2 linked regions of the Nothobranchius furzeri genome follow. The protein of the gene in region 1 binds, or shares a complex with, the protein of each later gene. Links are inferred from orthologs where the notes say so. Each region holds a gene or a part of one and is shown in the gene's direction. Other genes may lie near its edges.

What was found.
Region 2: yeats2 (region 1) and kat14 share a complex: the UniProt entries of both Homo sapiens proteins name them as parts of the ADA2A-containing complex. The link is inferred for Nothobranchius furzeri from reciprocal best matches to the Homo sapiens genes YEATS2 and KAT14.

The regions. Positions count from the first base shown.
Region 1 is NC_091751.1:55,945,689-55,949,502, forward strand, and holds part of yeats2 (YEATS domain-containing protein 2), read left to right. Parts: intron 1-774; coding exon 775-1,147; intron 1,148-1,236; coding exon 1,237-1,371; intron 1,372-1,690; coding exon 1,691-1,810; intron 1,811-2,829; coding exon 2,830-2,971; intron 2,972-3,049; coding exon 3,050-3,126; intron 3,127-3,204; coding exon 3,205-3,284; intron 3,285-3,726; coding exon 3,727-3,814. UniProt on the Homo sapiens protein: Chromatin reader component of the ATAC complex, a complex with histone acetyltransferase activity on histones H3 and H4. YEATS2 specifically recognizes and binds histone H3 crotonylated at 'Lys-27' (H3K27cr).
Region 2 is NC_091746.1:29,633,250-29,637,163, forward strand, and holds the start of kat14 (cysteine-rich protein 2-binding protein), read left to right. Parts: upstream 1-1,303; coding exon 1,304-1,562; intron 1,563-1,664; coding exon 1,665-1,786; intron 1,787-1,881; coding exon 1,882-2,003; intron 2,004-2,234; coding exon 2,235-2,407; intron 2,408-2,481; coding exon 2,482-2,916; intron 2,917-2,990; coding exon 2,991-3,571; intron 3,572-3,748; coding exon 3,749-3,882; intron 3,883-3,914. Other genes in the region: protein PET117 homolog, mitochondrial, read left to right, coding at 186-425, 959-1,108. UniProt on the Homo sapiens protein: Component of the ATAC complex, a complex with histone acetyltransferase activity on histones H3 and H4. May function as a scaffold for the ATAC complex to promote ATAC complex stability. Has also weak histone acetyltransferase activity toward histone H4.

The DNA.
Region 1 (3,814 bases):
TGTGTCCTTGGGCAAGACACTTGTCCTGGTGGTGGTCGGAGGGACCGGCGGCCCAGTGCTCGGCAGGCCCCGCCTCTGTCAGTGTGCCCCAGAGCAGCTGTGGCTCATGTAGCTCATGCCCACCAGCGTGTGAATGTGTGAATGACTGATTGTGTTGCGAAGCACCTTGGAGGTTGTAGAAGTGTGTGTGTGTGTGTTGTCAAATTACTGGTCCTAGTTATTTTTCATTCTTATCTCAAGTGTGGCTTAATCTAATCAATTCACACTTTTGGACCAGAATATTGCTTATAAGTTACAACAAAGCCAGGTCACCATAAACCTTTCATTTCAATGCCTCCTTTATTGTCCTCAAACGAGTGTAGGTCGTGTTGATGTTCACTCTAGTTGTTGCTCTTTGCTCTGCCTCCAAAGCCATCATTCTCTTACTTTAATTTCCAGGCTCCGCCATGATGCCAACAAAAAAGTAAACTATTTCATCTTGCACTATTTATTGACGGCCGGTGAAACTGAAATGGCTAACAGCTAGCCTTTATATGAGCTACCAGCACAGTAGACGTTTATTGTCGTAAAGCAGGTAGTACCCCTACCGGAACCACAAAATATTTAAGAGCAGTTTCTGGTCAGCAGAGGGCTGCAGAGTGCTGTCAAAATTTTATTTATTTAAAACATAAACTATGTCAGGATTTTTTTTTTTCTGCTTTATACATGCATGAGAGGTGCAGTATTTCTGCACATTTTTTTGGTTGACAGATGTGTTTCTGTATCTTTATCCAGGCTGCTGATGGCGGGAAGTCTGCCTCCCAGCAACAGCAACTGCTGGTGTCAGCCAGCCAGGCGGCAGTAATCAGCGCAGCTAAGAACGCCGGCACAGCCAGCGGCGGCAGTCTGTCCAAGGCAGCTGTGGCCTCTTTGGTCAAAGGAGCTGGAAGCTCCGCCTCCCCAAGTAAGAGTGCAGGAAGTTCAGCCGTTGCCGCAGTGATGGTGGCAAAAGGTGTCACAAATTTGCCCGTCATGAGCACGTCCAAAGGAGCTGGAGCTGGGACTGTGGTGGGGGTGTCCAAAAGCAGCAACACTCCATTAGTTTCTGCGGCGTCGTTAGTCAGCGGAGTGGCAGCTGGAGCAGGAAAAACAAGTGCTGCACTGTCAGGTGTGGAGGAACACACCACAACCTACAATCATATGTTTATGCACAACACATGGGTGTGCAAATGATCTCACCTTGTGGTTTTTGGCCAGGTATGCTGAAGATCCAGTCTGCTGGTTCCAGCTCCCAGCAGACCGTTTTAACCATCCCTGCCACCCAGCTGAAGCAGCTAGGGGTTGGAACTGGGTCTGCTGGACTGCAATCCATATTCATGCCTGTCAGTAAAGGTAAGCCCACTCCATGAACACAGAATAATCTCGCTAGTGTTGAAGTTAAACAGAATCCCAAAACTGATCCTGGATTACTTCTTTAGTTGTTCTGAACTTGATGTAATTTTAAAATAAATCTGAGATGCGCTCCATCATCTGGAAATATCTTATTGTTACCAATATCCTCTCATCTCATTTTTTGTCTTACTGTTTACCTAGCAGGACATTGACCCTTCTGTGTGTGTGTGTGTGTGTGTGTGTGTGTGTGCGTGCGTGCGTGCGTGTGTGCGTGCGTGCGTCCGTCCGTCCGTCTGTCTGTCTGTCTGTCTGTCTAAAGGCCCAGTCTCCAATACTCCTCCCTCCTTCTCCTCTTCATCCACTCCTCCTGGAGCAGCTGGAGCCTCCTCAGGTCTTTCCAGCCAGGTCTCCTCCTCCCTTATCCCGCCTTTAGCACAAGGTGAGAGGGGTCCATTGTCACTCCACCCTCTCCTCTCTTTCTTCCTAACTCCATTTTTATGTTTGAGCTGTCAGAATCAAACATTGGCCACTGAAGACGAAGCAAATAGTTTGATAGTTGTGTTTAAAGCTGATGAACATAATCCAAACCATTAGAGTCTTATTAATGGGACATTTAGCTACTTTTTCAATCATTTTCTTGAGCCACTATGTGCTAAAATGACCCTTTACATGGTTAATGAAATGACACCCAGCCCCCATCGCCACCTGTGACCAGAGTATTCCACTTGCAACTTCAGACTGGCGGGCAGCTCTGTTGGGACTTAGACAAAAGGAGTTGACATACCTGGTGCTGCAGTCTGGTTCCAGCACATTTCCTGGATGTTTTAGATTATGAACACATCTGATTTGTGTAATTTAGTGATGAATAATAATAATAATAATAATAATGCATTGAACTTATATAGCGCTTTTCTAGACCCCCAAAGACGCTTTCACACACTCACATTCACACACTGCTAGTGATGATAAGCTACTTGTAGCCACAGCCGCCCTGGGGAGGTTTGACAGAGGCGAGGCTGCCATTTGGCGCCGTCGGCCCCTCTGACCACCACTAACACAGGCAAGTTGGGTGAAGTGTCTTGCCCAAGGACACAACAGCAGGATACCCCTGGTGGGAGCTGGAATCGAACCCATGACCCTCCGATCATGAGGCAACGCGCTCTACCACCTGAGCTACTGCTGCCCCAAATGAATGAATGACTCCTGTAGATACTAAGGAAGGCTGGGGGGAAAGCGAGGAGATAAGTTTTGCTTTCAGTTCTATAAATGGACTCTAGGGGGTGCCAAAAGCAAGCCAAGACTGCCTAGTTCCCTTTAAAATATAAATTACATGTGTTGATTTGTGATGAAATAGTTCAGAGTAATAATCTTTTATACAAGTCTAAATATGTTTGTGATTCCTAATAACATTTATCTCCCCCACATATACACATCTGCTGTCGCTCTCCGCTGCCACAGTGAAAACAGAACCAGGTGCCGTCGCAGCTGGTCCGTCGCCCCTGGCGACGGCTGCTGCTCCAGCCCCTGTCCATGTTGCTTCTGCAGCCACCACCGTCAAACAGGAACAAGGCACAGATAACTCAGCACACTGCCTCATTAAGTAAGAGCAACGCCGCTGTCTCTTTAAACACAAATGCAGATGATGTTCTGATGTTAATCCAAAGCTCTTTCCTCTCAGCACTGAGCACATCGAAACCATGATGCAGCTGCTGACGGCTGTGGTGAAGAAGTTTCCTCTAATTGTGCCAGAAAAAAGTAAATACAATTAGATTTCATATTTATAAACCGACTGAAGACACTCTTTAAATGTAACGCTGCTTTATTTTTACATAGCTGAAGACTCCCATCCCTTTTGTGCCTCCTCAGTAGAACAGTATTATTCTTGGAACATTGGCAAACGCAGAGCGTCAGAGGTAACCTTTTGATTTTGTTTTGATGAAATCTTATGTCCACCTCTCACCGTTATCTTCAGTTTTACTCGTCTTCATGCTGTACTAGCCTCGTGTTTCATCAACATAGTAAATGATTCATTGCTGTTCTTGTGGAGAAGAGAAGTATGACCGTGTTTTTACTCACTTTGATGGAGTACACGACGTGATGATTCGCCGCGGCTGCAGTTTTGCATTTTAATCCGTCTTCCAGCTGCATCTCTTCTCTCTCTAGTTGGATGTGTGTTTCTGCCACATCATCTCTTTGACTAATACTGTATTCTGAGCCGTATGTGGGATACCGTGAATATTAATGCTTATTCATGCATGTTGCTAAATAGTTTAAGCAGCGAGGGTCTACAATGCTTAAACTTTGTGATCGGACTCTTCCGAGTTAAAATGAGCTGATCTTTGGCCGTCTCTGTAGCTTCAGAGAGCGGTGGCGGTGAAGCGTCTGGTTCAGGACGTGCTGGACCGCTCGCCCCGCCTGCAGGCCCTGACGCCCCCGAAGACCA
Region 2 (3,914 bases), on another chromosome or scaffold:
TCCAACCACTAAAAACAACGAATAAAAAGAAAACGTTGGTTTCCAAAACTATGTGCACATACTAATGTACATTCTCAGCCTGCGTCGCATAAATGTTTAGCCGAAAAAAGGTAAAACGTCATAAAAAATGCTGAAAAAGCACCACAACCATCTTTTTTTGTTCTGTTACCAAGAAACCTTCAACGATGGCTGCCTGCAGCTCATTTCCCCACCAGCAGGGGCCGCTGTGGCTCATGGGAGTGAAAATAAACAGAAGAAGAAGAATAACTTCCGGTAGTGCAGACGAGGAGCCTGTTAGCATCTGGCTAACTGAAGTCAGACCCAACGTGATGTCGGCAGCCTCCAAAGTGGTTCTGGGTGTTTCTGTGCTTCTGACGCTGGGTACCGTGGCAGCGGTCCATTTAAACCAGGCCTGGGATCGAGAGGTAAGTGTGCGAATCGAGCCGGTCCAGCAGCAACCGAACTACAGGACATTTAACCTGACCTCTGACCCAAAACCAGCGTAAATAATTTTCCTGTAAGGAAGTGATAGAAATAAACTGGCTGGCAGCTCACAATGTCCCGGATGTGAGATGATTACCCATAATTCACTGTTGCACAAACAGCTCATACCCCAGCTGTCAACATGGTGGTGGAGGGCTAATGGCCTGGGCCGGTTCCACAGGAGTCCAGCATCCTGATATCTAACACACACACACACACACACACGAGTCTGTGACAACACAGCAGCAGATCAACAACAGAACCAAGGTGCAGCGGTCCAGCCAGAATCTAGACCCGAACTATGTGAGAAACGGACCCATATTTGTGTTACTTCTGCTCTGCAGGAGGAGCCTCTTTGTGCTTATGGTTCTGAGTCTCTTGTAGGCCCTTTTATCTTGCACTTGGGTTCAGATTAAAGCCGACGTGACTCCGCAGCAGGGCCTGTTGTCACGTGTTGTTTTTAATGACCCTGCAGAGGCTGCGTGAGGGTGTGGTTCAGGATCTGGAGCGGGTGGAGAGGAAGAAAGAGAACCTGAGGCTACTGGAAGAGCAGAGGATTCTGACCAGACACCTGGAGGAGGAGCGGAGGAGAGGAGAGGAGAGGCTTCAGTCACAGGACACCTGAGGCAGGTCAGGAAACATGGTCATTCAGCTGTGTTTGCTTGTATAGAACAAAGATGACATGAAGGACCAGAACTTCTCTGTCTGGTTTGATCCAGTTTGAACCTATTGTTGTATCTGAAATGTCCACATGGGTCTTCTGGATGGACAAATAAGAGAGTGCCTCTCTGACCCATGTAACCTCCACAGGTGCCCAGAGATGGACAGCAGCAGTGAGCAGCTGGCAGCGGCAGAGGACGAGGCGGCTGGAACATCCGCCTCTGAGGGTCTGGAGGAGGGCGAGGTAGAGGGGGAGACTCTGCTGATCGTAGAGTCTGAGGACCAGGGCTCCGTAGACCTGTCCCACGACCAGAGCGGGGACTCTCTGACCAGCGACGTGGGCGAGGAGACGGATGGAGGCTGGGCCTGTGAGGACATGTCCTTCTACTGCGAACGTTGCCACAAGTGGATCCCTGCAGGTCAGCCAGTCACAGCACAGCATGGAGGACCGTGTGTGTGTGTGTGTGTGTGGTTGCTGCGATCCTAAAGGGTTTTGTCTTTCTGACCCGGTTCTGGTCCAGCTGAGCTCCACGGTGACCAGCCCAGTTACCTGAAAGGAGACAACTTCTTTAAGTTCTTCTGCTCCGAGTGCTCTGAGGACAGGAAGGAGAGCTTTGAGAGGATGAGGCTCACCTGGCAGCAGGTATGACCCAGACTCAGCAGGGCAGGTACCACACACACACACACACACACACACACACACTTCCTGCTTGTTAAACAGGAACATCCTGTGTTCAGGTGGTGATGCTGGCCATGTACAACCTGTCTCTGGAGGGGACAGGCCGGCAGGGTTACTTCAGGTGGAAGGAGGACATCTGCGCTTTCATTGGCCGCCACTGGAACTTCCTGCTGGGGAACAGGTGAGTTAGAAGTCATGCCGGAGACCCTGGCCAATCAGAGTTTAAGGCTTCCCTTTCAAACCTGAGCTGTTTGACCCACTTTAAACATCCACAGTTGCACAGATGATGGAGGGAAGATGGGTTTCCAGGGCCAGGAAACATCCCAGCCCCGATCGATCCCGTTGAAAGAATCATCACAAGTTCTGCTGAATCTTTAACTCGGATCAGTGAAGATGCTAATGATGTTTGCAGGAAGAAGACGTCAACGTGGTGGAGCACAGTCGCTGGCTGCCTTTCTGTCGGAAGTCCCACCTTCTTCCGCTCTGGTGCGCAGGAGTTTGGAGAACCAGGCTGGTGGAAGCTGGTCCAGAACAGACCTCCCACCTTGAGACCGGATGGGGACAAATCCATCGCTAAGGTCAAAGGTGAGATGCATTGTCACAGTTATGTTCAGGTGAGAAAGCTCCGCCCACTGATCCATTGTGTCGTTCACTCACAGTCTCTAAACCGGTGATGGACCCGATTATTACGGTGGAAGGTCTGAGGAAACGTGGAGCCAGGAACCCGGTGGAGAACGCCATGCAGCTGAAGGAGAAGCGTTGCCGCACACAAGAGGCCAAAGACATCCGCCGAGCCCAGAAGGAGGCAGTGGGAGGCTACGTTGACCGCAGCTCCTCCTCCACTCCCGTTAAGCTAAGCGGAGGCCGCGGTGGGGGTGCCAGTCGCCGGTCTGAGGTGGTCCTGGAAAAAGGCGAGGTCATCGAGTTCTCATCCCTCAGCTCCTCGGACCGAACACCGCTCACCAGCCCATCTCTGTCTCCATCGCCCGACTTCTCCGCTCCGGGAACGCCTGCCTCTCATTCAGCCACACCCAGCCTTCTTTCGGAGGCGGACCTAATTCCGGACGCCATGCCGCCACAGGCATTATTCCACGGTGAGTCATTTCATCCTCGTGCTGGGCTGTGGTGTCAGCTGTGATGTCATCTCCTGTCTGCCTCCCTCTTTCAGATGACGATGAGATTGAAGGGATGATTGACCCAGGGGTGGAGTACATCCCTCCTGCTAGCACCAGCCATGTTGGCCGTAAGAAGCTCCGCCCAGCGGCGCCATCCCACATCAAACGGGAAGCTGAGAGTGAAGACGATGATGGCCACCAGAACGAGGACTCCCTGGAAGAGCCGGCAGAGGCCCCGACTCTTTCCTGCCGGGGTCCGGTTGGCGTCAGAGCAGCCGAGCGGCGGAGGGCGACTCATCCTGAGAAATCTAACGAAGTGGCTGTCCTTCGGGATCCGGGCCTGGTCCCGCTCAGCCTGTACGAGGAGCGGCTGCTGCTGCTGCGGCTGGACGCCTGCCCGCTGGCGCTGGCCGTCACTCCACATGCCAAACGCCTCCACAGGAAGCTGCTGGTCCGCCAGACCAAACGCCAGAGAGGGCTCCCCCTGCTAGACGTTGACCGAGCAATCAGCGCCACCCTCAGCCTGGTGGGAGGCATCTATGATGCGCAGGAGGCGGGGGCACATGTGGAAGGCGGGGCTAAGAAGAAATACTGCAGCAGCCGCCAGGAGCAGCGGATTCTGGATCGTTTTCAGGTCTCTGCTTGTCTCCTCAACTCCAAACCTTTAGAAGACATCCATATTTCACATCAGCAGCACGTTCCAGCTGTTTCTCACTCGACCTTTGACCTTTTTGTGCCGTTTCTCCCTTGAAAGCTAACACCATCGGCTCAGATTCAGCTTTGGTCTCTGAACCCATCTGTGTGTTTACAGACCAGCGTCTCCAGCCGAAGGCGTGTCCAGCACAGCTCCGTGTCCTTTTGGCACCGTCTGATGGGAGCTGAAGGCAGTTTGGACAAAAGCATCAAGAGTCCGTACACGTCCCGCCTCCTGAAACCGTTCATCAGGTAGGCCAGTCTGAAAACTTTGTCTTACCTGC